Linked DNA regions of Arabidopsis thaliana. The protein of the gene in region 2 purifies or fractionates together with the protein of the main gene of each other region. This does not show direct contact. Each region holds a gene or a part of one and is shown on either strand. Other genes may lie near its edges. The genes, in order: AT1G12230, UFD1, AT3G53580 and GSH1.

What was found.
Region 1: the proteins of UFD1 (region 2) and AT1G12230 fractionate together in Arabidopsis thaliana (co-fractionation; one large-scale study listed by BioGRID). This does not show direct contact.
Region 3: the proteins of UFD1 (region 2) and AT3G53580 fractionate together in Arabidopsis thaliana (co-fractionation; one large-scale study listed by BioGRID). This does not show direct contact.
Region 4: the proteins of UFD1 (region 2) and GSH1 fractionate together in Arabidopsis thaliana (co-fractionation; one large-scale study listed by BioGRID). This does not show direct contact.

What each region holds. Positions count from the first base shown.
Region 1 is NC_003070.9:4,146,135-4,151,596, reverse strand, and holds AT1G12230 (Aldolase superfamily protein), read right to left. Parts: upstream 3,636-5,462; 5' UTR 3,548-3,635; coding exon 3,494-3,547; intron 3,404-3,493; coding exon 3,262-3,403; intron 2,859-3,261; coding exon 2,780-2,858; intron 2,688-2,779; coding exon 2,622-2,687; intron 2,518-2,621; coding exon 2,442-2,517; intron 2,348-2,441; coding exon 2,264-2,347; intron 2,171-2,263; coding exon 2,066-2,170; intron 1,977-2,065; coding exon 1,896-1,976; intron 1,821-1,895; coding exon 1,756-1,820; intron 1,662-1,755; coding exon 1,592-1,661; intron 1,519-1,591; coding exon 1,343-1,518; intron 1,259-1,342; coding exon 1,120-1,258; intron 1,036-1,119; coding exon 889-1,035; 3' UTR 541-888; downstream 1-540. Other genes in the region: RPS5 (Disease resistance protein (CC-NBS-LRR class) family), read right to left, coding at 3,917-5,462.
Region 2 is NC_003071.7:9,106,011-9,110,773, reverse strand, and holds UFD1 (ubiquitin fusion degradation 1), read right to left. Parts: upstream 3,209-4,763; 5' UTR 2,934-3,208; coding exon 2,918-2,933; exon of another isoform or gene 2,696-2,917; coding exon 2,646-2,695; intron 2,537-2,645; coding exon 2,459-2,536; intron 2,293-2,458; coding exon 2,268-2,292; intron 2,183-2,267; coding exon 2,150-2,182; intron 2,059-2,149; coding exon 1,937-2,058; intron 1,844-1,936; coding exon 1,713-1,843; intron 1,524-1,712; coding exon 1,303-1,523; intron 1,209-1,302; coding exon 961-1,208; intron 861-960; coding exon 762-860; 3' UTR 513-761; downstream 1-512. Other genes in the region: SULA (NAD(P)-binding Rossmann-fold superfamily protein), read left to right, coding at 31-272; AT2G21260 (NAD(P)-linked oxidoreductase superfamily protein), read left to right, coding at 3,466-3,598, 3,889-3,983, 4,068-4,185, 4,336-4,468, 4,551-4,763.
Region 3 is NC_003074.8:19,862,753-19,867,653, reverse strand, and holds AT3G53580 (diaminopimelate epimerase family protein), read right to left. Parts: upstream 3,024-4,901; 5' UTR 2,871-3,023; coding exon 2,595-2,870; intron 2,489-2,594; coding exon 2,321-2,488; intron 2,244-2,320; coding exon 2,173-2,243; intron 2,073-2,172; coding exon 2,015-2,072; intron 1,912-2,014; coding exon 1,732-1,911; intron 1,644-1,731; coding exon 1,559-1,643; intron 1,437-1,558; coding exon 1,377-1,436; intron 1,276-1,376; coding exon 1,202-1,275; intron 864-1,201; coding exon 747-863; 3' UTR 520-746; downstream 1-519. Other genes in the region: AT3G53590 (LRR receptor-like Serine/Threonine-kinase), read left to right, coding at 1-275; FC1 (serine/threonine-protein kinase AFC1), read left to right, coding at 3,529-3,696, 3,848-4,022, 4,125-4,151, 4,279-4,432, 4,516-4,564, 4,677-4,791.
Region 4 is NC_003075.7:12,101,657-12,109,506, forward strand, and holds GSH1 (glutamate-cysteine ligase), read right to left. Parts: upstream 6,040-7,850; 5' UTR 5,469-6,039; intron 5,110-5,468; 5' UTR 5,096-5,109; coding exon 4,770-5,095; intron 4,600-4,769; coding exon 4,449-4,599; intron 4,280-4,448; coding exon 4,172-4,279; intron 4,095-4,171; coding exon 4,002-4,094; intron 3,823-4,001; coding exon 3,739-3,822; intron 3,620-3,738; coding exon 3,551-3,619; intron 3,461-3,550; coding exon 3,390-3,460; intron 3,306-3,389; coding exon 3,237-3,305; intron 2,983-3,236; coding exon 2,889-2,982; intron 2,763-2,888; coding exon 2,673-2,762; intron 2,582-2,672; coding exon 2,501-2,581; intron 2,407-2,500; coding exon 2,314-2,406; intron 2,228-2,313; coding exon 2,147-2,227; coding exon of another isoform or gene 2,123-2,146; exon of another isoform or gene 2,049-2,122; coding exon 1,979-2,048; intron 1,891-1,978; coding exon 1,802-1,890; 3' UTR 1,705-1,801; exon of another isoform or gene 1,443-1,704; intron 652-1,442; 3' UTR 479-651; downstream 1-478.

The DNA.
Region 1 (5,462 bases), on a different chromosome or scaffold from region 2:
TACATTTAAATCGAGCTATATTTTAAAAAATAATCTAGGTATTTCATAATTATTGGTATGAACCCACAATAATTAATCACAAACAACATGTCGTCAAAGGAAAAACGCAATCACACAGGAAAAAAATGATTGAACTAAATTTCAATTATCTTTTTTTTTTGTCAACAACTAAATGTAAGACGTACGAATTTGTAAACATTAGAAGATAAGATTTATAACATGGTACGTTTCTGCTTGTGTGAAAATTACTAAATGACATTAAAGAAGGTGGATAGAGAAGTGACTAGACATCAGATAATGCATCTGACTGAGATTGATAAGTTTATGTTGATCCTCTTCATTGTCTTCATGATATTTATCATTTGGTACACATAAATTCCCAATTTTTTTTTTGGATTTAAACCGTCTTTCTCGCCCTAAAAAAACTCATCTTTTTATCATTTATCTTAGAATTTGTCAAACAAACAGTGTTTGGCCTATGTCCAACTTTTTTTTGTCTAAGAATTTTTTTATTTATTTTCAGTCCATAGTTAAATTTTTAGTTTAGTTTGAACTTTAATAGAACCCGATTGGTTTTACAAAAACAATCGGTTCAATTTTGGTTTATCGGTACAATCATGACTCAGAGATCTGAGAACCGACTAAGTCAATTACAGAGAAAAAAAGACCGAAGTTCAGACGAAACAACATGAAAAGGATTTGGTTTTAGACTTTTAGTCTTAAAACTAAAGTCTCTTATCTTGTAGCCCAAGTCTCAGACATGATGAACAACAAGCCACGAAAAAGATAAAGAGGGCAGGAAGATAAACAGGGTAGTGTTCAAGTAACATGGACACTTAGTTCTCTTATTGATACAGATCCTTATTGATGAAGAGAAAAGCTGTGTATTTAGACATTAGGAGGTGGCCAAATCTTCCCGAAAAGCTCTTCAACACGTTTCGCTTGGTTCGCATAACCTTCAACACCGGCTGATAAAAGCTCCACTGATGCAGGACCCATAGATGAAGCCAAGCTTAGCTGGTCCCATTTGACCAGCTAAACCAGAATCAAACAAACAGGGTGAGACACTGGTTTAGTGAAACCAGAAGCAAATGAGTGTTGGTTAGCTTCAGAACTAACCTCTTTGTTGGTGAAGTGGTAATGTGTTGCAGTTTCAGGAGTAAGTTTCCGAACAAATGAGTATTTTTCATCATCGGGAATGGCGGGTGAATCTTTAAGAGATTGCAGTACCTTTAATGGTGCAATGACATAATCGACCCTGAGATTGAAGAGAACATTGAAAGTTAGAATGTGATCAGAATCCATTGATGGTCGAAGCTATGATTTGGAAGTTTGAGTTTACCCGAGAAGACTGAACAAGTCTTGTTTGTTCCGGACAGCAGCAGCCATCAGCTTGGACTTGTAACCATACTTGTGAATGTAGTTATATGATCTTTTGACCAAGGCCAAACCAGGATCTTCTCCCGATTTAATAGCAGATTCAATCTCGGTATCTCCCGAATGATTACGCGCCCAATCCTAATGATTTTAAGATATTAACTTTGGCATATCACTGAAATCACTTAGCAGCATCTGTTTAAAAAATGGTTACCCTGAGGCGACCGACGAAAATCTGAATGACAGAAGCACCGGCTTGAGAAGCTGCTGCAGCTTGTGCAAAGCTGTTGATGAATGCAAAACGAAATTATAAAGTAAACAAATCAGATGGATAGACAATTCTAAAATAAAAGAGTCAAAAGGTATGTTTTATGGTACCTGTAAACAAAGGTCATATGCGTTTGGATTCCCTCTGATTCCAACAATCTTGCAGCTTCAATACCCTATGAGAGGGATAAGCACAATACTAAGAGACCAGTAAAAGGTAAAGCTTTGGTATTTGCTGAAAATAATCTTACTTGCCAAGTTGCAGGGATTTTGAATAGGAGCCGGTCGTGTGGTACATCGATTTCATTGTATAGTCTCAGCAGATCATGAACCTACACACATCATCACATCACAAGTTAGTGATTTGAAGATACAGGAGACATATAATCAAATTATCTTATATATATGGTGTAGTAACTACCTTGCGGATAATGCCATTTGTGTCATAAGCAAGACGTGCATCCACTTCAGTAGAAACTCGACCTGGAACGAGTTTGACAAGATCGCCACCTACGTTGACAATAGCCTGCACTTTTCTCATCAGTAATAAGGGCAAAAAAAGCTTTTAAGCAGCAAAGATCTGGAAGTGGAAAAACAGATAAGGGATAAGAAGATCAACCTTATTGAAAAAGCAAGAGAGTCGAGATTCTGTGGTTTCAAGCCCTGCACAAGAAGAATCCGCCAAAGCCATGTCCACAGCATTCTAATCATGATGTAAAAATGTCAAAATTAAATGAGCCCAAAACAAGAGATGTCATATACTATCATCTAAGAATCAAAACTCTTGAAATGCTTACGCGGAAAATGGTATCAGGTAGACCACAGATACCCAGAAGAAGAGCAGAGCTAACAGTAGCTGCAGTCGGCGGAAACCTGCAGATCAGTAAAATACAACAAAGGTATCAATCCAGCACAATTAGAAAACCAAAAGGTTATACTATCTGGTTTTCACAATAACTAAAGGTTAGAAGTTATACTTGTGAGGGAGTGAGTTTTTACATCTTAAGCTAATTTCTTTCTTGTATCCTCGATCCAGAGAAAAACTCAGTACAATCTCAAGTTAAGAATGTCTGACTCCATTTTTATGATATACCAGTGTAACTAAAGTCTCATGAAGTAGAGATATATATCATACCTCTCAAAGTCATCGAAAACGACAGTATCAGGAACAATCTCACTAAAAGCTGAAACAGCATTTAGCTCATTGTTCTCACCTGAAAAAAAAAACACAATTTCATCAAACAACTCAATGATCATCTAAAAGCATTCCAGAAGAAATAAAGTTGAGAACTTTAGGAAAACCGATATCATCCAAGAACAATGTTAAACACCAAATACACAATTTGTTTCTTCAAATTCAACCATAAATCAACACTGTTCAGCTAAGAACTAAAGCAACCAGAAGGTCCTGAACTAAGAAAGGTAAACCAAAAATAGCAACTTTGTCAAGCATAGTTTCCTAACAAGTGACTCAAGACAGTATAAAAACAAACCCACATAAAAAGAAAGCTTGAATCGTAGTCAATCTTTCAAAAACCCATACTTTTGTTTTGTCTTTCCAGAAATCGTATTTATTAATTAATGAGAAACACGATCATCAAAGATATAAACAAATACCAGCTTCGAGAGACGAAGACGCAGGAGAGGAGGAGGAACTAGCGGAAGCAAGAATCCGAGGAATCGATCGCCGAAGACTGAAGTTAACGGCGGGAAGAGGAGTAACGGAGAATCCGGCGGCGAGCGTCTTCCATCGTCCCTTCTGCGAAGTTCAAAGCTCGCATCCATTAGATAAAAAACAAACAATGCACAAATACATGCGATTGAAAGAAGTAAGCGAAGAGGAGAGTACTCGGATTGAAGCAGAGAGAGTTGCACAAGGCGGAGATTGCAACGAGAGTGGCATTTTTTTCGCTGAAGTTGATCTGAGTAAGCAGATCCAGCCGTTGATATCTTCCAATTAACGTGGGTCCCGCCTTTTCTAATTTATCCGAAAACTGTCAACGAGATAAGACAGTTAATTATTATTTTATTACAATGGTTAGGAACTTGCAAGTTTTTATTCATTTTCTCATGAGTCTCTGTGTAATGTTTCTATGAAGCCGAAACAAACACTCATCGTTTAGAGAAAGAGATAAGTACAAATCCAATGATCACTAACCAAAAGAACGATGAGAACGGTTATGCAAACAAGAAGAGACAAGGAAGAGATTTACACACCGGCAAATGTCTTTAGACCATGACAACAAAAGTTTGTAGAAGAAAGTGAAGTTCATTATGTTTCTCTCCACCGCCACCTGGATGAAGGTAAGAAACGGAGTTGAGTTGCTTGGTCCTCCCATTCAACCCTTTCTATCCATTCTCTCTCTCCATAATATATGACAAGTTCTTCACCCGCGATCCCACTTTTAGAATCCAATGGAAGCTTTCTCAGCTTTTCACATTTTTCTACGTGGATAACTTTCAGACACGGAAAATGCAGAGCCTTTGCATAGATTCTCTTGAGCCCGCGTAATTCAAACAGGTGTAGTGTCTCCAATTTCCTAAAAGGAACAATCGTAGCTGAATGCTCCTCAGCTTTCTCTTCACTAATTATATCCTCTACTTCCTTTGAGAACCCAACTTCAAGAAAAGTAAGATTAGGAGCAAACAAAAGCCACGTCAAATCCTTAAGACCATGGCATTTAGCTATAAAGACTCTGGAGAGGTTTGAGAAGCATGGAGTTGTGGGACTTTTGTTCCGAGACGATGATGAAGTTGTCCTCTCTATCTTTATCTCCCTCATTCCACATCTTTTTATCCCGAGCTTGCGGAGATTACCCATGGTTGGCAAAGTCAATACTCTCACTGATTCTTCCTTAAGGTACTTAAAATCTACCTCTTTTATACATTCCACCAACCTTTGAGAGCATAACAATGGCTCTGCAACCAAACTTGATGATATATCTAGGGTTATAACTTCTAGATGTTCTAAGAGCTGCAGCTCCTTCACTAAACTCATATCTAGCAACAGTCTGGAATCTCGTAGTCCCAATGTCCTCAAATTCCACAAATTTGATATCCCTAATATACTCCCAAGACTGCTCATGTGTTCGAGATTCAGATGTATTAGCTTTTTCAATGTCCATAAACCAACGGGTAGTTGATGTATACATGTATATGACAAGTTGAAATATCTCAAAGAGGCCAGCTCTGATATTTCTTCTGGTAATTCATTAAGACTCTGATTCTCTGATAGATCTAAAACCACCAGATGAGGCATACATCGAAAGAATTCAGCCGAGATCTTTACCACGTCGTTCTTTTGGAGAAATAGAGTTGTAAGTGCAGCACACTCGTGACTGTCAAATATCTCTTCAATCTCATTATTCATCAAAGAAATCTTTCTCACAGTGTTCCAATCCTTGACTTTTGGTACTTCACGTAACCCAACACCAGCTCGCACAATACATTTCTCCTTTTGCTTCCCAAGATCGGATGATATCCATAGAGCCATCTCACGAACCACATCATGCATTTTCACGTTTGATTTGTTCCTTTCTTCCTCCAACAACAAACATGCACGGACAAGGGTACCAATTATCTCATAACCTTGGTTAATATTCCTCTCTCTGCCTTCTTTTTCATTTATGAATCCCTCACTTATCCAGTAGTCTACCAACCCCTCTTTATCAATAAGATAGTCTTCAGGAAACAGAGAGCAATAGAGGAAGCAGGATTTCATCAGCTCCCCATTTAAATTATCATAGCTATACTTCAAAACATGGAGAATTTCATCTTCCATACCTGAAAAATCTATGGCAGATGATGTTAAAACGTCA
Region 2 (4,763 bases):
CATAATGCTATTGGTGCTGGTTGTTGGCAGGAGTTATTAATGGGACTGCGCCGAATCCGGTTAGGCTTGGGGAAATGTGCCAGCAGCTAGGCAGTGTTCTTAGCCGACCATCGTGGCTACCAGTTCCTGACTTTGCACTCAAAGCTTTGCTCGGAGAAGGTGCCACTGTAGTTCTGGAGGGACAGAAGGTATTACCTGTAAGAGCCAAAGAGCTTGGTTTTGAATTCAAGTATAAATACGTGAAGGATGCACTCAGAGCCATTATGCAATAAGGTGACACACATAAGCATCTTTGTAAAATTGGTTTTGATCACAGAAAATCCCCAGAAAAACAAGATATTCTTTTCTTTTCGTCTCTATATCTTTCTTTTTGAGTAAAACTCGAGAAATGTATTTATGGTAAAAAGTGTTTTCGGTGTTATCTCAGAAACCAGAGATCACAGATGTGTTGAGGATATTATAACTCAGACATAGCATCTTTCTCATCTATGTTCTTTGGTCATTGGTTCATTGGTAAAGAGCTACAGAGCATGGCTTGCTATTCATGAACACATTATGTTAGTGAGGTGCTCAGAATCTTATATCCTACAGTAAGAATATAAAAGAGCAGAGAATTGTAGAAAGTTGCATTGAATCTGATAAAGAAAACAAGCCGCGTCAAGAGGAGCCAGAGATTTATTCACTTATTTGTTTTCCTTGTATTTTTAGTACACAACATGAGAGGTCATAAATAGACTGAGTAGACCCATTGTGTGAGTTGATCAACCCCTCAATGAATACTTCTTCCCAGAGAAAGCTTGAAACTTGGGCTCGTCTTTCTTCTCTTGTTCCTCTTTCTTTGTCTCTTTTGCAGCTCCAACCTGAAAAAAAAAATTAAGAGATGAACAATCATATGCATTTGTCTCTCAATTCCATTACAGTTTTTGTTTTGTCAATTATCAATAAACTCTGAATGCGTACTTTCGGAGCAGCTTCTTTTGGAGCACGGTTTCCGTTAGCCCCAAATACAAGCTTTCCCTGAGCTCGTGTAGCTTTCTCTGAGCTACTTGCTACAGATGACTGTCCATTACCATTAGCGACAACAGGTTGTTTGCCTTTTGAGCTAGAGGCTGGCGCTGGCTCATAGGCAAGAGGTCTCCCATCTAACCGTCTTCCAGATCCGGTGAAAGGGTTGAACTTTGGTTCAGGTTCATCCACAACCTCCTCAGCTGTGAAATTTGGAAAGAAAAGAACACATGAGAATCTAACAACTTGAAGCTGATAGTAAGTCCATCTGATGATTTCATGTCCATGGATAGATACCTTTTGCCGGACCCTTAGCTGCAGAAGGTGCTGTGGGACGTTCAGGCTCCTTGTAATCGAGGGGAGGTGCGAAATCAACCTCACAGTCTGTTTCTATGATGCTGATTGCGTTAGCAGGCTTTGTTTCAACTATATCTATGAAGTACTTCTTATTGTTGTATGGAACCATAATGCTATCCCCACTAGTTAGGCATGAATAATTTCTCAAAGCAGTCTCCAAGCTGCAACGTTCACTCAATTATCAGTAAAGAATATTGGGAACAAGATAAAAAGAGTGACATCAAACAACTACGAGCCAGAAAACGGGAAGAACTTAGATATAATAATACATTCTCTAAGCAATAAACAACATGATGTGGGAAAGTATATGAGGGCTCAAATACAAGAGGGTAGAAATAAGTCGGACTCACATGGCTTTCGGGTTGGATATATCCAGGAAGTCTGTTGTGTGGGGCTGTAGTTTAACGTAAGTTCCCTTTGGAAGAGTGACATTTCTAACTCTCACAATGTCTCCTTCTTGCAGCAGCAGATTCTGCATCATCTGGATTATATCAAAGAAGCAAACAATCAGTCTGGTAAGTCCACATGATCCAGAGTACTTCGATTCACAAACAAAGAGGAAACTGATTCTTACCCAATATGGCATGTAAATCATGCCTTCTTCTGCAATGAACTCAAGGACTCCACAGTGTGTAACACGTTCAATTCCAGCATTACGAAGCTCAAACAGCATCGGATAGTCAATATGCAAAGAGGCTGTAAAGTCCCCAATATTAGCGATTTGATATGTTTCTAAGTTAAACAAATATTAGACCAAATCCAAAAGAGAAAACCAGTAGGAGCATACCTAGACGATCAAGGGCTGATGGTGGCATTATAACTGAAATAGAATTAACACAAATTAAAACCTCAGGCTTGAACAATACAGATGGAAACAAACATTGGTGTCTAGATAGAAGACTTACTCTTGTCACCACTTTCAAGTTGTGGCTGCAGGGAAGAGAAAAGGAAATAGAAATTAGATACTAGATCTCAGCTTTCTTATAGAACTTACTTAGTAGAACATGACAACGACTAAGATTCTAACATTACAAAAGAGCACTCTCAGATTCACTTATCAGGGAATTAAACTAAAAGTAGAGAGATGAAATCAAACCTTGTCGATAAAAGATGCCGGATAACACCGGTAACTCTGCTCAAAGGTTGTTCCATGATAATGGTATCCATCGAAAAACTGCATCGAGTTTAAATTCCAAAGGTTTAGACAAACAAACCAAGGGTGCGAGATATAAAAGCTAGAGTGAAGACTAACGGTTAAAAAGGAAAGCTTTGAATACACTTACCATAGTTATTGGTGGTAGTAGACTAACAGAGTAAGTTAACAAATGGCAACCTACAGAAAAAGAAACCTCACACAAGTCAATTACAAGAGATCCAAATCATAAAAGAGAAAAAGAGGGCACTCTTTAATTTAAGGGTTTCAATAATCAATTGTGGCCAACAATTCCGACCGGAAGGAACATCAAAGTTAGTGACTTTAACAGATAACTAAACAAGCTATTATCAAAAACCTAAGACCTCAATTTCGAATCTCAGCAGAAGAATAGAAACCTACAAAATCGAAGAACCATCTACAACTTGCAAAATCCCACCTTTTGAAACAAACCCAAGTAAGATCCTTGGAAACCTATTCCTAAACAATTCACCGGAAATCCCCAGAACAGAAGATTCCGATCAAAAGTTGAGAGTGGGATCGATACAAACAATACCAAAGCTAAAAACTTTACAAAATTAAAAGCTCGTCTTGAGATTATCAGAGAAGAATAAGAACTCAGAAACCACCGATTGAGCTGCCCGACCAATAAAATTACCTTTAGGAAGTAATTGATTCCAGACACAACCCAAGTAAAGATGCAAACTTTGAGGACCTGTGATAACGTTGCTTGTATATATATATACCCATACGGTGCGTATTGATTCATGTCTTTGTAAAACAGTTTGGGCTTCACAAAAAACGGTACTAGCCCATTGGGCCTCGAATAGTGAGGAATCATGACCACTTTATATTGACGTGTGCGTTACCAACTTACCATACTGGGAAACTCTCAATTCTGAGCAGATATCTACCCAATCACGGATTGAGGAGAGAAGCAAGAAGAAGAAATGGAGATTACACTGAACAGTGGCTTCAAAATGCCGATCATCGGCTTAGGAGTTTGGAGAATGGAGAAAGAAGAGCTTCGAGACCTTATCATCGATGCCATCAAGATCGGTTATCGTCATCTCGACTGTGCTGGTATAACTTAACACTGCTTAAAACCTTTTCTTTCTGATCTTTGTTGCTTCGGGTTTGTCAGGATATGTGAATAAAATATTAGGTTTTGTTTTAATTTGTTGAAAGTTGGAATCTTACTTGGAAATTATGTCTTAAGATTTGGGTTTTTAAGTATTTGGAAATTTGGAATCGTAGAATGATCTTAAGTCTTTGCTGTATCACAGACAATTGTTTTTGTTTCTTTGCATGTGAGTGAGTTGCTTTGTTCTGTATCCTGATTTATGAGTATCTTTTGGGGTTACTTGGTTCAGCTAATTATAAGAACGAAGCTGAAGTTGGTGAGGCTCTTACAGAAGCATTCACGACAGGTCTTGTCAAGAGGGAGGATCTCTTCATTACGACTAAGGTCCAAACGGCTTTAAGTTAAACTACTACATACCTTTGATATCAGTTCATTTCAGATCGAATGCTCTCTGTCTTGGTTTTGCAGCTATGGAGTTCAGACCATGGCCATGTTATTGAGGCATGCAAAGACAGTCTCAAGAAACTTCAACTTGATTACCTCGACCTTTTCCTCGTTCATATACCCATAGCTACAAAACACACGGGTTAGGCTTCAGCCTTGTTCATGAATATTATCAGTTTCGAGTAGAGACCATTGCATTTCAGCCTTGTTACTGGCTGGAAAATTAAGTTTTCTCAAGTCTCTAGCAATTGGCACACAGAGTAATAAGCTGTAACATGTAAGCCTTGTGCAGGAATAGGAACAACCGATAGTGCTTTGGGGGATGATGGGGTATTGGACATAGATACAACAATCTCTCTGGAAACTACATGGCACGACATGGAAAAGCTTGTTTCTATGGGTTTAGTCCGCAGCATTGGAATCAGGTTCAACTTCTCTCACTATCATTACAAGTTCTCTTGTTTAGTCGCCAATATATGAATTATTTGACCATTAGGTTTTTTGCAGTAACTATGATGTCTTTCTAACGAGAGATTGCTTGGCTTACTCCAAGATCAAACCTGCTGTGAATCAGATCGAGACACATCCTTACTTCCAACGCGATTCTCTAGTCAAATTCTGCCAGAAACATGGTATCTGTGTCACTGCTCATACTCCTCTGGGAGGTGCCACAGCCAATGCCGAATGGTTTGGCACCGTGTCATGTCTGGATGACCCAGT
Region 3 (4,901 bases), on a different chromosome or scaffold from region 2:
TGGGACAATGTTCGCCCGATAAAGTGAAGAAGTTGGCGGAATTAGCTTTATGGTGTTGTGAAGATAGACCAGAGACGAGACCACCAATGTCAAAAGTGGTGAAAGAACTTGAAGGTATTTGCCAATCTGTGCGAGAACCCGAAATGTTCTCAGAAACAACGAAATTACTCTGCTCCAAAACATCGCCGTCATCTTCTTCTGTACCCTCGCCATTGTCTTTACTTCCTGGAAGTAACTTGGACAGTGGCTTTTTCCACGCTGTAAAACCTCGTTGACAAATATTTGTGTGAGATAGGCTAACATCAGACTAATGAGAGTTGTGTTATTATACTTAGGAGATATTATGATACCAGTTATGTTGTCCTGATTCCTAACCATATAAGCTAATATCTATGCAGATATGGAAGCTAACCAATCTTATCATGTACATATGCGGTTTTGTATTCTCTCAAGTTTCATTTCTCTTGTCATTATGTGCAACCACGGCCATTGACAATGTCTGGTCTGGTGGAGAATCAGTGTAGAAGAGAGCTATATTCCGAGGAAAAGAAGATTTAAATTATGAACATAGATGCAGCAACAAATCAAAAGGTTTGGATACTCTGAAAACAATAAAAGTACATAAACAAAATCCATGAAACACAATCTAGCAGGACAGGTAAGAGCTTCACACGTTTGAATTAGAACACACAGACCCCAAAAGAACAACAACAGAGAGAGGAGAAGTCATCGACTGTGAAGGCCCATTAGAGCAGCGCTGATCCATAGAAAACAGCTTCTGCAGGACCCGTCATGTAGATATGGTTGTCTTCCTGTTTCCACTCTATCTCCAATGGTCCGCCCGGTAGATCCACCGTGCATTTCTGTTCCACCATAAACCAATACATATATGAGGAACTCAAGGTCACCACATGCAGCTAATCTCAGCTCATGACAATCTTTAAGCTCCAATGAATATCCAAGAAACATTTGTGTGAGAGTGAAGAACCAAAAAAAACGAATACAAGATTCTCCCACAAGAGACGAAGCGAACGAAAAGTACTTAGTAAAATCATAATCTCATCAATCGTCTACCAATCAAATCATCCAACCATTCAATGCAACATTCAGGTTTCATAAAAAATGCTTAAAAACTGCTAATCCAGTGTACCATTTTGCAAACTGTTATCTAGTTTTTTAAGTTCTGAAATTCCAAACTTACCCTGTCGGCTCGACCTTCAAGGACTGCTGCAACAACCAGAGCACAAGCTCCAGTTCCACAGGCCAAAGTTGCTCCTGCAGTTTTAAGTATGCGTAAGCATTAAGCATATAAGGATACAGAGACTGTTTATAATCAACTGAGAATTATATTCGAAGATTGGGGGGAATTTGCGGACCTGCTCCGCGCTCCCACACACGCATTTTCAAATGAGAACGTGATAAGACCTCAACAAATTCTGCGGATACACAGAAAGAACTGTAAGACAACTAAAGGGATATAAATCCAAATATAAGCGAGAAGTCTTGCTGTATCAGTCAATGGAAATCTGGATACATCTGCCGATGAATCTCCACTAACCTGTGTTAGTTCGAGCTGGGAACATTTCATGATGCTCGAACTTTGGACCAATCTCTGGTAAGTTCAAATCATCAACTTTCAGATTCTGGTTGACACAAACCAAAATTACAAATGATAAGAAATTCACGTGTAGACAAATAATATGATTAGAAGTCTAGTAACGAAACACGCACCGGTCCACCCTTTTTACCAAATGTGATACAGTGAGGATTGCCCATACTAACACACGTCACATTCCAGCTTACTCCATCAACAACTAGCTCTGCCTCAACAACAGCTTCACCTTTGTTCCCTGACAATTTCGTGGGCACATCTTGTGCTTTAAGAATCGGTGTCCCCATGTCAACCTTAACCTGTACCAATATCAATCACAAAAAATAAAAATCCAAACTTTACCTTACCCATCATCATGAATACGACTAAACCTAATATGAGACATCAATCCAAATGATCTACCTGTCCGTCATCTTGAATTTCTGGAACAATCAACCCGGCACCGGTATGTATTGTAAAACTACAAAAACAAATAAATAGACACTTAAGGTTACATCAAGCTTGACTAAACTCGGAACTCTCAAGTCTAAACAGATATTTCTCAATACAGATAGAGATACCTATGTTTTCCCTGCAAATTCTCAAGCTCAGCAATGAACCTAGCAAAGCATCGAACTCCATTGCCACACATCTACAAGAACAAAATCAAAAGCCAATGACTTCGAGCGCAACAACATATCACCAGACATTATCATCGAAAAGCCCCACCTCTGGTTCACTACCATCTGAATTGAAAATCCGCATTGCGTAATCAGTACCATTGACTCCTGGCATTGCAAAAATCACTCCATCGGCACCAACACCGAAGTTTCGATCACACAGCTTCGCCGCCTGTTCTTGAGTAATCTTAGGTTCCGATGAGTCTCTGTTATCGACCTACAAAATCCAATTCCAAAGACGAAAAATTTGAAAACATTTGTAAGAATTCGATACATTTCGGGTTAAATTACCAAATTGAGAATTCAACGGTGAACAAAAGTACCAAAATGAAGTCATTGCCGAGGCCATGGTATTTCACAAAGTGAAGAACTCCGGTTTCTTTTTTGTCTAGAAAACTCGCCGGAGAAAATTTCTCAGCTGTGACGGCGTCCATGGAAGCTGCTGCAGACACACGAAGGCTAGGGCTCTTAAAGCAATATTCTTTCTCAAAGAAACCAAACGAAAGAGAAGATACGGATCCTAGATTCCTGGAGAACGCATTCGACACTCTGCGCGATTGTGGCGCGACGGAGACAGTGCTAACGGCGGCTATCTCCATGGCTGCTTCAGATTATTTTTCTTGTTCAACGACTCTCCCGTCTCCTCCATATTAAAAGACTTTGGAGAAAACACCCCATTGTTCTGATATTAAATAACTGAACTCCACGTCGTTTTTATCCTCAACAGTAATAACATCATGTCGTTTCTTTAGTCAACATATATTTAATAAAGGCCTGACTAAAAAAGCCCATTAAGAACTTCCAGAGCCTCTGTCGCTCCTTCGCTGTTCTCTTCCTCAGGTTCTCTCTCTCTCTCTCATTTCAGTCTCTTTCGCTGTTAAATATTTTCTCCTGAGATTTTTTTCTTCAATTCCAATTCAGTGAGCATTTTTATTGTTTCTCCGATCTGAATTCCGGCGATCAAATTACGACAGCGACTAATTCAACGTTTTAAATTACTCTGTGTGAGAGAAATTTGCGGTTAGTTTATTAGCTACATTACTTCCACTTTTTTTAATATATTTTTCTGTTACTTTTCCCACCTTTTTTAGTTATCTTCTGGAGATAGATCCCCCCCAAATTGAAGATAACTAGGGTTTCGAATTTCGGAATCTTATTATCCCTCTAATTAGATTCGAAATTCAATCGCAATTCTCTCGCTGTTCATAATCTGGGTTTCTGAATTTCAGCTCTGGATTTGCATTTTTCTAATCCTTTATGCAAAGCAGTGTGTATCGTGATAAAGCTAGCTCGATCGCGATGATCTTAGAAACTCAGAGGAATGTTGAATTCCCTCATCGGATCGTTGATAAGCGTCCCAGGAAACGTCCCCGATTGACTTGGGATGCTGCTCCGCCTCTTCTTCCTCCTCCTCCTCCACCCACGGTAACGAATTGTCCACATATTGTATTGGTATCAATGGACTGTTCTTTTGTTGTTTTCATAAGATACTGCGAATTGTGTTAACTAGTAAGAAATTAAGATTTTTATTTGTGTGCTTGAGCTAAGTTTCAGCTGATGTGTTTTTTTCTTTCAGGTATTTCAACCTCCGTTGTACTATGGTCCGGAGTTTGCGAGTGGTTTAGTTCCCAATTTTGTTTACCCAAACATGTTCTATAATGGCCTTCCTCGTCAGGGCTCTCCTCCCTGGAGACCAGATGATAAAGACGGCCATTATGTCTTTGTTGTTGGGGATACTTTGACTCCACGATGTGAGTCTTATGTTACAGAGTCTTTCGACATCTTATCTGTTACGTTTCACAGACTTTATCATGGAGGTTTACATTGACATGCCTCTTCTATTGTGCGTGCAGATCAAATTCTCAGCAAAATGGGTGAAGGTTAGTCATCTCTTGCGAAAATGTTTATATAATCATTATGATTAGATTATTCTGTTTTTCAAAGTGTAGGAGAAATATGTTTATTTGGTCGCCAGTTATCTTAATCAATTGGATTGTATTTTGGCAGGTACATTTGGACAAGTATTGGAATGCTTTGATAATAAAAACAAAGAAGTCGTGGCAATCAAAGTTATACGGTCCATAAACAAGTATCGTGAAGCTGCCATGATCGAAATTGACGTGCTGCAGAGGCTTACAAGGCATGATGTCGGTGGTTCTCGGTAAGAATATTTCTTTCCTCTTACTATTTCTTCGCTAGTTTTAATTTTATTACATTTGGTATAAGCTTTTCAATTCCTTGCAGTTGTGTGCAAATACGGAATTGGTTTGACTATCGTAATCATATTTGTATTGTAAGTGCTGTTACCTTTATTTGACAAGTTTGAGGGGAAAATGCAATTTCTTCACGCCCAAATGTTATGTGAGTTAAAAGAACTTGCGCATGGGTTTAAATGGTTTCAACAGGTATTTGAGAAGCTTGGACCAAGCTTATATGATTTTCTCCGCAAAAACAGCTACCGTTCATTTCCCATTGATCTTGTTCGGGAGCTTGGCAGACAACTTTTGGAGTCTGTTGCATGTGTGTGGAATATTCTTGACCCATTCTTCTATATAGTAGTCCATTAGTGCCACAAATCATTTTTCTTAACTTTTTGATACAAGACTTAGGCGTTAATAGTTATTACTTAA
Region 4 (7,850 bases), on a different chromosome or scaffold from region 2:
TCAACCTAATAAATATTTAGAAGTCAAATAAGTTTTTATCCAATTCTATTAATAGGAAAACGGATGACAACCTCCTGGATCATTTCTTAGTATTTGTCATCACTCTTCCCCTGAATCATTGATCAACCTGACAACCTCTATACCAATTCAAAAGATTGTCTCCCATTTGAACTAATATTTTCATATACATGAAAAATCCTATTACTGTAGCCAAGGCACTTTTGAAGCTAATGATCAGGTAGGAGAAGTGATTTCAACCCACTGTTGTAATACATGATTGCATAATCAAAACCAATCTATGGAATCCACATTTGAAATATTTTGGCCCGTTTTAAAATATTTTTTTGGTAACGTTTTTTAACGGATTTTTGATTTCTGCAAATTTTGGCGCGCTTTCCACTTTCAAACTGAATTTTTGAAAGAATCTAAATGGCATGCGATCATAATTAACACTTTTTAAGATGTAAGATCCTTCATATTTCATAACCATAATTAATTTGATAGACAATAAATGATTGCATAATGTTCCACTGTTGTGATAGATGATTGCATAATCAAAACCAATCTATGGGACAAAGCCACATTTGAATTATTTTACAGATCTATACGACATATTCGAACTTAAAAAAAAAACAATAAAAACAAACAAAACTCAGTCGTTTTTAAAGCCAGTCGCTAGTTATAGTCGCAGCGACACTTAAACGAACCGGCCCGAAGTCTCTCATAAAAATTGCGATTGCGTTTACATGTTTACCTAATATATTAAATTCCAATTTAAATGAAAGAAATCAATTTTAATCAATTTCCTTTTTAGCAAATTGTTTTGATTTTTTATTTTTTTTTGGTTGCCATAGACGACATTTGTTAGGTTGTTTCAAATATTGGACTTAAATTTTAAAATTGAAAACAAGCAAGGTTATGTGAAAAAGCAATTGGTTTACAGTTTAAGGTTTAGGAAAAATAAGACTAGAAGCAGATTAAAAACATTTGATCTCAAAAACTAGAAACGTGCCAAATTAAAGTATCAACGAAATACATGGAGATTTTAAAAATTATGATCTCTTATGTAGATTACAGTTTTAACGGACATAAAAACGTTGACGTAACATACATGAATGAAAGGTGGGTATATTAATTAGGTAAGGCAGTGTGTGGACTGTGGAGACTCGGTTTTTCTCACTCTCATCAGTCATCACTCATCATTTTGTAGGGACGCCTTGGTAGGGTTTACATATTATCCTGTCACCTAAGTGCCACTATCTTCTTGTTTTACGATAATTACCGACGGCCAGGATCATCGTGTTGTAATCAGTTTAGTTTACGCGGAGTCTGGTGGATTCAATTATGAAAGCAGTGTTCTTCACTAGCCAAAACCTATTAAAGGAAAAGCTCGTAAATGTCTACATCGAAGATGCTCTCCCATTTAGAAAAAAACATACATTGCCAAATTACTAAACATCAAAACTTTCCACTACACAGCCTAGATTATCCCATCCGTCGCCTTTGCCTTGAAATCAGTTTTGAGTTATTTCGTTAAATGTAGACAAATTTGTGACAAGAAAAATGGGTAATTTATTCAAGATCCAAACACACCCTCCCAAACGATTTCCCACACCGAAATCGTTTAGTACATACAATTTTTCTTCTGCTTTTCAATGCTTCGAATTTCTAAAACAAAATCAGTTTTTAAAATCCGATTACAACAAAAAAAAAAATCCTTATTCCGGAGACTCGAATTCTTCAGATAGCATAAACTCACACCCAAAGGTTTATAGACACCTTTTGTTCACGTCCCATTTTCTTAGTACAGCAGCTCTTCGAACACGGGATCTACGCTTTGTCCCCATTCTCCATTGTACATCTCCAAGAGCTTCTCCGCAGGCGTAACTCCTGTCATTTCAAAACCAAATTTCACCACCAGGTTATCAAACAAAATGTCGGTGTGGAATTCAATTATGCATTAGGAAACTTCATTTACCTGTTCTGACCACTTCATCGACTGCGTTCAAGAAACCGGCTTCCTTGTAGCCTCTGCGCTCTAAACCATCCTGAGAAACAAAGAGAAAATAAGTCCAATAGTTAGAAGCTGGACCAGACGGGATAGAAAGCTGGCTCGAAGTTTCTAAGAGGGTTCATACAAACACACCTTTGCGAGTTTCAGGACATCTTCAGCGACATGCTTTAACAAACCATCCCTAAAAGGAGTCTTTAAGCCAGTAACTGGGACCTGTTGGAAATCAAGTATTAGTTTATTACAAGATGTTTTCTAACTGTGGAATAAGAAAATGTAAATGTGGTGCGTCTTGTTATTACTTTGTTCCTTAGCATCTCTCTCTCTGCTGGAGTCCAGTCAGCTGTCAGATCCAGGATAGCTTGGAGACTATCATCATCATATAATAAACCCACCTGAAATTTGTAGATAAAATCAAAACAACAGTCAATACTTTTTGAAACATTCTCATTAAGCACGAAATATATATGTGCTAATAGATGTAGTTACCCAGAAAGCTGGCAGGGCACACAGCCTCCTCCAGGGACCTCCATCAGCACCTCTCATCTCCAAGTATCTCTTCAACCGAACCTAGTGTTATGGAACGTTGTCAGACTTCAACATAAGACAGGGAAATGAAAGTCATAGGCTGATTGAAAGACTCTTGAGGCAGATGATTAACCTCTGGGAATATTGTTGTCAGATGGTTTTCCCAATCATTATATGAAGGCAGTTCACCAGGGAGACAGGGAAGTTTTCCAGCCAAGAATTGCTGCAGCATGAAGAATATTATGAGATTAGATATAATTCAAGAAGATCCCATGGTTTTCAATTTGCCAATTCCTTGCAATGAAACAGTTATAGAACCTAACAGAAAAGATTAAGGATAGATTTTGACCCGAAATGTCATTCCAGTACAGTCGATGTATTTGTTCTTTCTGTAGGCAAAGTACATAGGGACATCGAGTGCGTAGTCAACATACTGCTCAAACCTATACCAGATAAGAACAAAAGAGAGCAATAAAATTAAGATTAGCCATGCTGTTTCAAGAGAAGGATAAAGATCCAAAGCATCTTTCTATCTTGAACACAAACATATGTAAGAAAATCCACAGAATAGCACATATCAATTTTCCAATAACTCATCAAGAATGCGAGACAGAGTCATTGGTTTTTGAGAAGCTTCTCATACCAAACCAACCAATGTAATGTAATTGTTTTTCATAGATTAAACATCGATACTCACCCAAAAGAGTCATCGAAAACAAATGGTAGCATTCCTGTGCGGTCCTTGTCAGTGTCTGTCCATATGTGGCTGTCAAAACATACCAGAGTTATAAGGTGGGAGGGAAACTAATTCAAAAAGATATCGGGGATCATAACAACTGAATCTAGATACCTTCTCATGCTGAGAAATCCGTTTGGCTTTCCTTCTGTAAAAGGGGAATTCGCAAATAGAGCCGTTGCTATCTGTTGAATTTAGATAATAGTGAGGCAATGGTTAGTCAAAATCGTTAATAAAAGTTTCTGGTTATGCCACAAAGAGATCGAGCTTCTCACAGGTTGTAAAGCAAGACCAGCACGAAACTTCCTGATCATATCAGCTTCTGAGCTAAAATCCAGATTAACCTGTCAAGATTGCAAGTAATGCAGTTTCTATAAGTTTCAAAATAAGATTATTGATGAGAACTGGAAAGTTTAGTTTAAGGAAATTATGAAAAGGCGCAAAGTCAGAATATTAATCTAACCTGAACAGTACACGTTCGGAGCATCATATCAAGACCAAGGGTACCAACTTTCGGCATGTAGTTTCTCATAATGTCGTATCTCCCCTGCACAGAACACATTACACTATGTCAAATCTTACTGCCTGACTCGTCATAGGAAAACTTAACACAAACACCAAGAAATAATCCGAACGTTGGCTATGTAGAATCAGATAATATTATCTGAATTAGAAACAAACAGATGTTAACTTTCTTCAATCTTAAGAATAGAGAAAGCGTCATACCTTTGGCATGATGGGTATATCCTCCCGACGCCATTTGGGCTGGAAGCCAATTCCTAAGAAACCAATTCCCATTTCCTCAGCAACTGCTTTTACCTGTGACATCCGTAGATAGTTGGTTATTTGTCACGTTTTAGGGTGAGAGCATTGGCAATAATTATCTTTGAAATTACCTGATAAAGATGTGAATTGACTTCAGCACAAGTTTGATGCAAAGTCTCAAGAGGTGCACCACTAAGCTCGAACTGACCCCCAGGTTCAAGTGAAATGCTTTGCTTTCCCTGGTCAACAAAAGGACAGAACGAGTTATCTACAGCAAAAAAAAAAAAAAGACTGAAACCTTATAATATACCGATCATTGTGTTGTATATGAAGCTAACATGTTCTACAGGCTGAAAATGTATATAAATAATAAACGGCTCAAAAGATGAAACACAGGAGAATGTTAACCTGCTTCAGACCAATGATCTTGTCACCTTCCATTACTTTTTCCCATTCAAATCTTTCAGCGATACCATTAAGAAGCTCGGCTATTTGATCATACTTCATAGGGCGCAAAGTATTGACCTCAAAACCAAATTTCTCATGTTCTGTACCTATTCTGAAAACTCACAATGTTAAGTTAGCAAAACAGAATATTTCTCCAATAGACAAACAATCTGGATGAATTCAAACAATACCAACACCGTAAAAGAGCACAAACAAAGAAATATGTCACAATTACAAACACTAAGTAGCATTTTAACAGAACATATAAGCATCAAACTGTACCTATATTTGTCCTTTGTTTTGCATCCAGAGGCAAGATAGGCAATGAGATCCTCTCTCGTCAACGGCTCAGTTGCAACTACAGCCTCTTCCGTTGGAGGACTTGCCGCAACAATCAATTGATGCCCTCTCTTACTCCTCTTAACAGAATGGAGAAGCATTGATTTGGTAGATAGACTCCTAGAGTAGGAGCTACCAAAAGCTTCTTTCATCCTCAAAACATCCAAATTCCTCACGCCACCCGAAACAACAGCTTTAGTTCCAGCCTTTGAACAAACTCCAGAAGGAACAACAGTGTATGATCCTCCTGCTTGAGACAAGAGCGCCATGGTATATATAGCTCCTGCAATTATAACAATTCATCATAAGCTATGAGAAATCACAAATAACTGCATTTTTCTCAATTCTAATAACATATATCACATAATTAGAATCAGCAGCTACCACAGAATTGAACTATCATCTGGAAGAACAAATCAAAATTCGTGTATCACCAAACCAGAAACAACAACAACAACAAAAATCAAATCAAAGCAAAAATCTGCAAAAATTCGACTCTAACAAAACCAAAATCATGCAACAGCCAAAAAAAAATCATGAGAAAAAGCGAAGATTCAACCAAAAAAAAAAAAGCAGAACAAATCAATCAAAAACCAAAATCCACAAGTCCAGAAAGCGAAGAAGAAGAGAAGCAAATCACACCTGAAATTCGTCAAGCTTGACGGAGATTGAGAGACACCGTCGAAATCAAGAAGAAAGCTTAAAGAGCAAAAACGAATCGGCGTTTCAAATTTATATGCGACTGAGAGAGAAATGAGAAACTGATAAAAAAATGAAAGAAAGTTGATCAGTGGAGCATGAGCCGATCAGTGGAGCTGAGCTGTCTATAAAAGAAAGTTGATAAAATTAATAATCATTGTAATAAAAGATTCTTTCGTTTTTTGCCTCTTACTTTTCCATTTCTCACAAATTTAACCCTAATAGTTTTTTAAATAACCAGTTTATTAGTAGTTTAAACAAAGGTTAACTTTATAGTGTGTATAATGAATTAATGATATTTCTATTCTTTATAGTATACTTTAAACGAGGTTTAACTTTACGATATTTAATTTAGAACGTAAAATAATGAAAAGTGTGTCACTAACCAACCACATGACCTCAGATAAAATACTCTATAGGAAAAGAAATATATATACTACTATAAAAAACAGTATCATTATCTATTTGGTTTGATTGTGTCGACAAAAAAATCTTGGTTCTGATGAACGAAAATTGGCGTTATGTTTTTATATTTCCTACTTCTTAGTAGGTGGAATCAAATCCTGCTTTTATAATCAACAATTTAATGATACAAAAACATGTGAATGGTAGATAATGAATCACCATCAAAAGTTCTACTTGTGTATAATAATATATATAGATACGGGATGGATTTGACAATATCCCAATTATAACAATGGAAGGCTATTTGTCTATATTGTTCATGGAATAGTATGGTACCATGGTGGTCATTTACCTTATTTTTAGAAATAACTGTATTTTTAGTAGTAAACACAATTATGGCTATATATCACCTAATTTCTCTATCTGAGTTTGATTTTGTATTCGTGACAAAATCATAGTAAAACAAGTTTAGAAATTTTGTTTACTATTTGGTAATCTACAAAATCCTTCAAATTCCATGGTATTTTTCACATACTTTCGAGAATTTGGTTTTCTCAAAATGAGAAAAACTAATTATTGTGTTAAGTTTTTTTTTTTTTTTTTTTTTGAATGTTATAACACATTTGAGTTTTGTTATAATTTAAAATCTTAAAATTCGAGCTTCGTTCTAATTTCATTATATCGCACAGATTGACTCTATCTTTTTTTTTTTTTTTAATTGACTCTATTCAAATTTTACTACAAGATCCATTATTGTGTTACATATCGATACTCCTATGAATTATGAAGCTGTGCTAAAAAAACATGTGGCATTAGTAATTTATTTATTTGATATCAATTATGGCTGCCATTGAAAAACAAATAGATGCAGAATTGCTTGCGTTTGCATATACGTAACGTAAGTAAAAACTAAAAACTCTTGTAGCGACAAAAATAGAAAAACAAAAAAAACTCTTGTAATTGTGCACTTCTATGTTGTATGTTTAAATTAATATCAAATATATTTTATCGAACACATGAATGAATAAGTTATAAGAAGGTAAGGTAGGTGGACACGTGCGTGACTCAAAAATGGCGGCCATGACTTCTAATCTCCACACCACCAAAGCCTTAAACGGAACCCACCTCCACAGTTTCTTCCTATACATTCGTCACTCACAAGTCACACCGTTTCAACTTTCACGAAAACTTATCTAAAAAATAATAATTAACATTTGACATAATGGAAAATCACATTAATATATAGCCGTCAAAGAGTGAAGTCAGAAATCCTAAAACGATACGGAATTAAGCTGGAGTGTGCTATGCAGACTCTTTCAGTTAATCTTTTCCTTTATATTCCAACCTTAACGTTTTCTAATATCCACGAGAAACCCTAAACTTTCGATTTCACATTAAAGACCCCAATCCTCAGCACAAAGTAACTAAATGCATCAGACATAGTAGCTAGCTATTTGCGCTTATAATGATTTGAAGTTACCAAAAGATTTTCTTCCTAGGGATTAAGAGAAAAGTAACATCTGGGATTGTCATGGCAAGCCCAACTCATAAGTCTCACCGAAGCCCAACTACACATATTCTTAATATGGCCGAAGAGGTAGATGATACACAATCTTGAAAAGTTGTTCTAAGTGGCTGTTGGTGTTGGATTCTCACATTTGAACTCGGCCTATTCAAGGCCCATAAAGAAAGCTTATATAGGTAACATCGAGCTACAACATTCCGGAGCTTCATGACTCTCACCAGGCCCAAGTCACATCAGTTTAGCTCGTGATGGCCCTATACAGTTTGAGCAAGTCAAAATAAAACGGGCATATCTAACAAATTAAAAAGGAAACGTTAAATTGGTAGACATCGAGATGGGGACGTTATGATTTGCATGGATTGACTAAGGAGGTCGTATAGACCAGGGTCACTTCT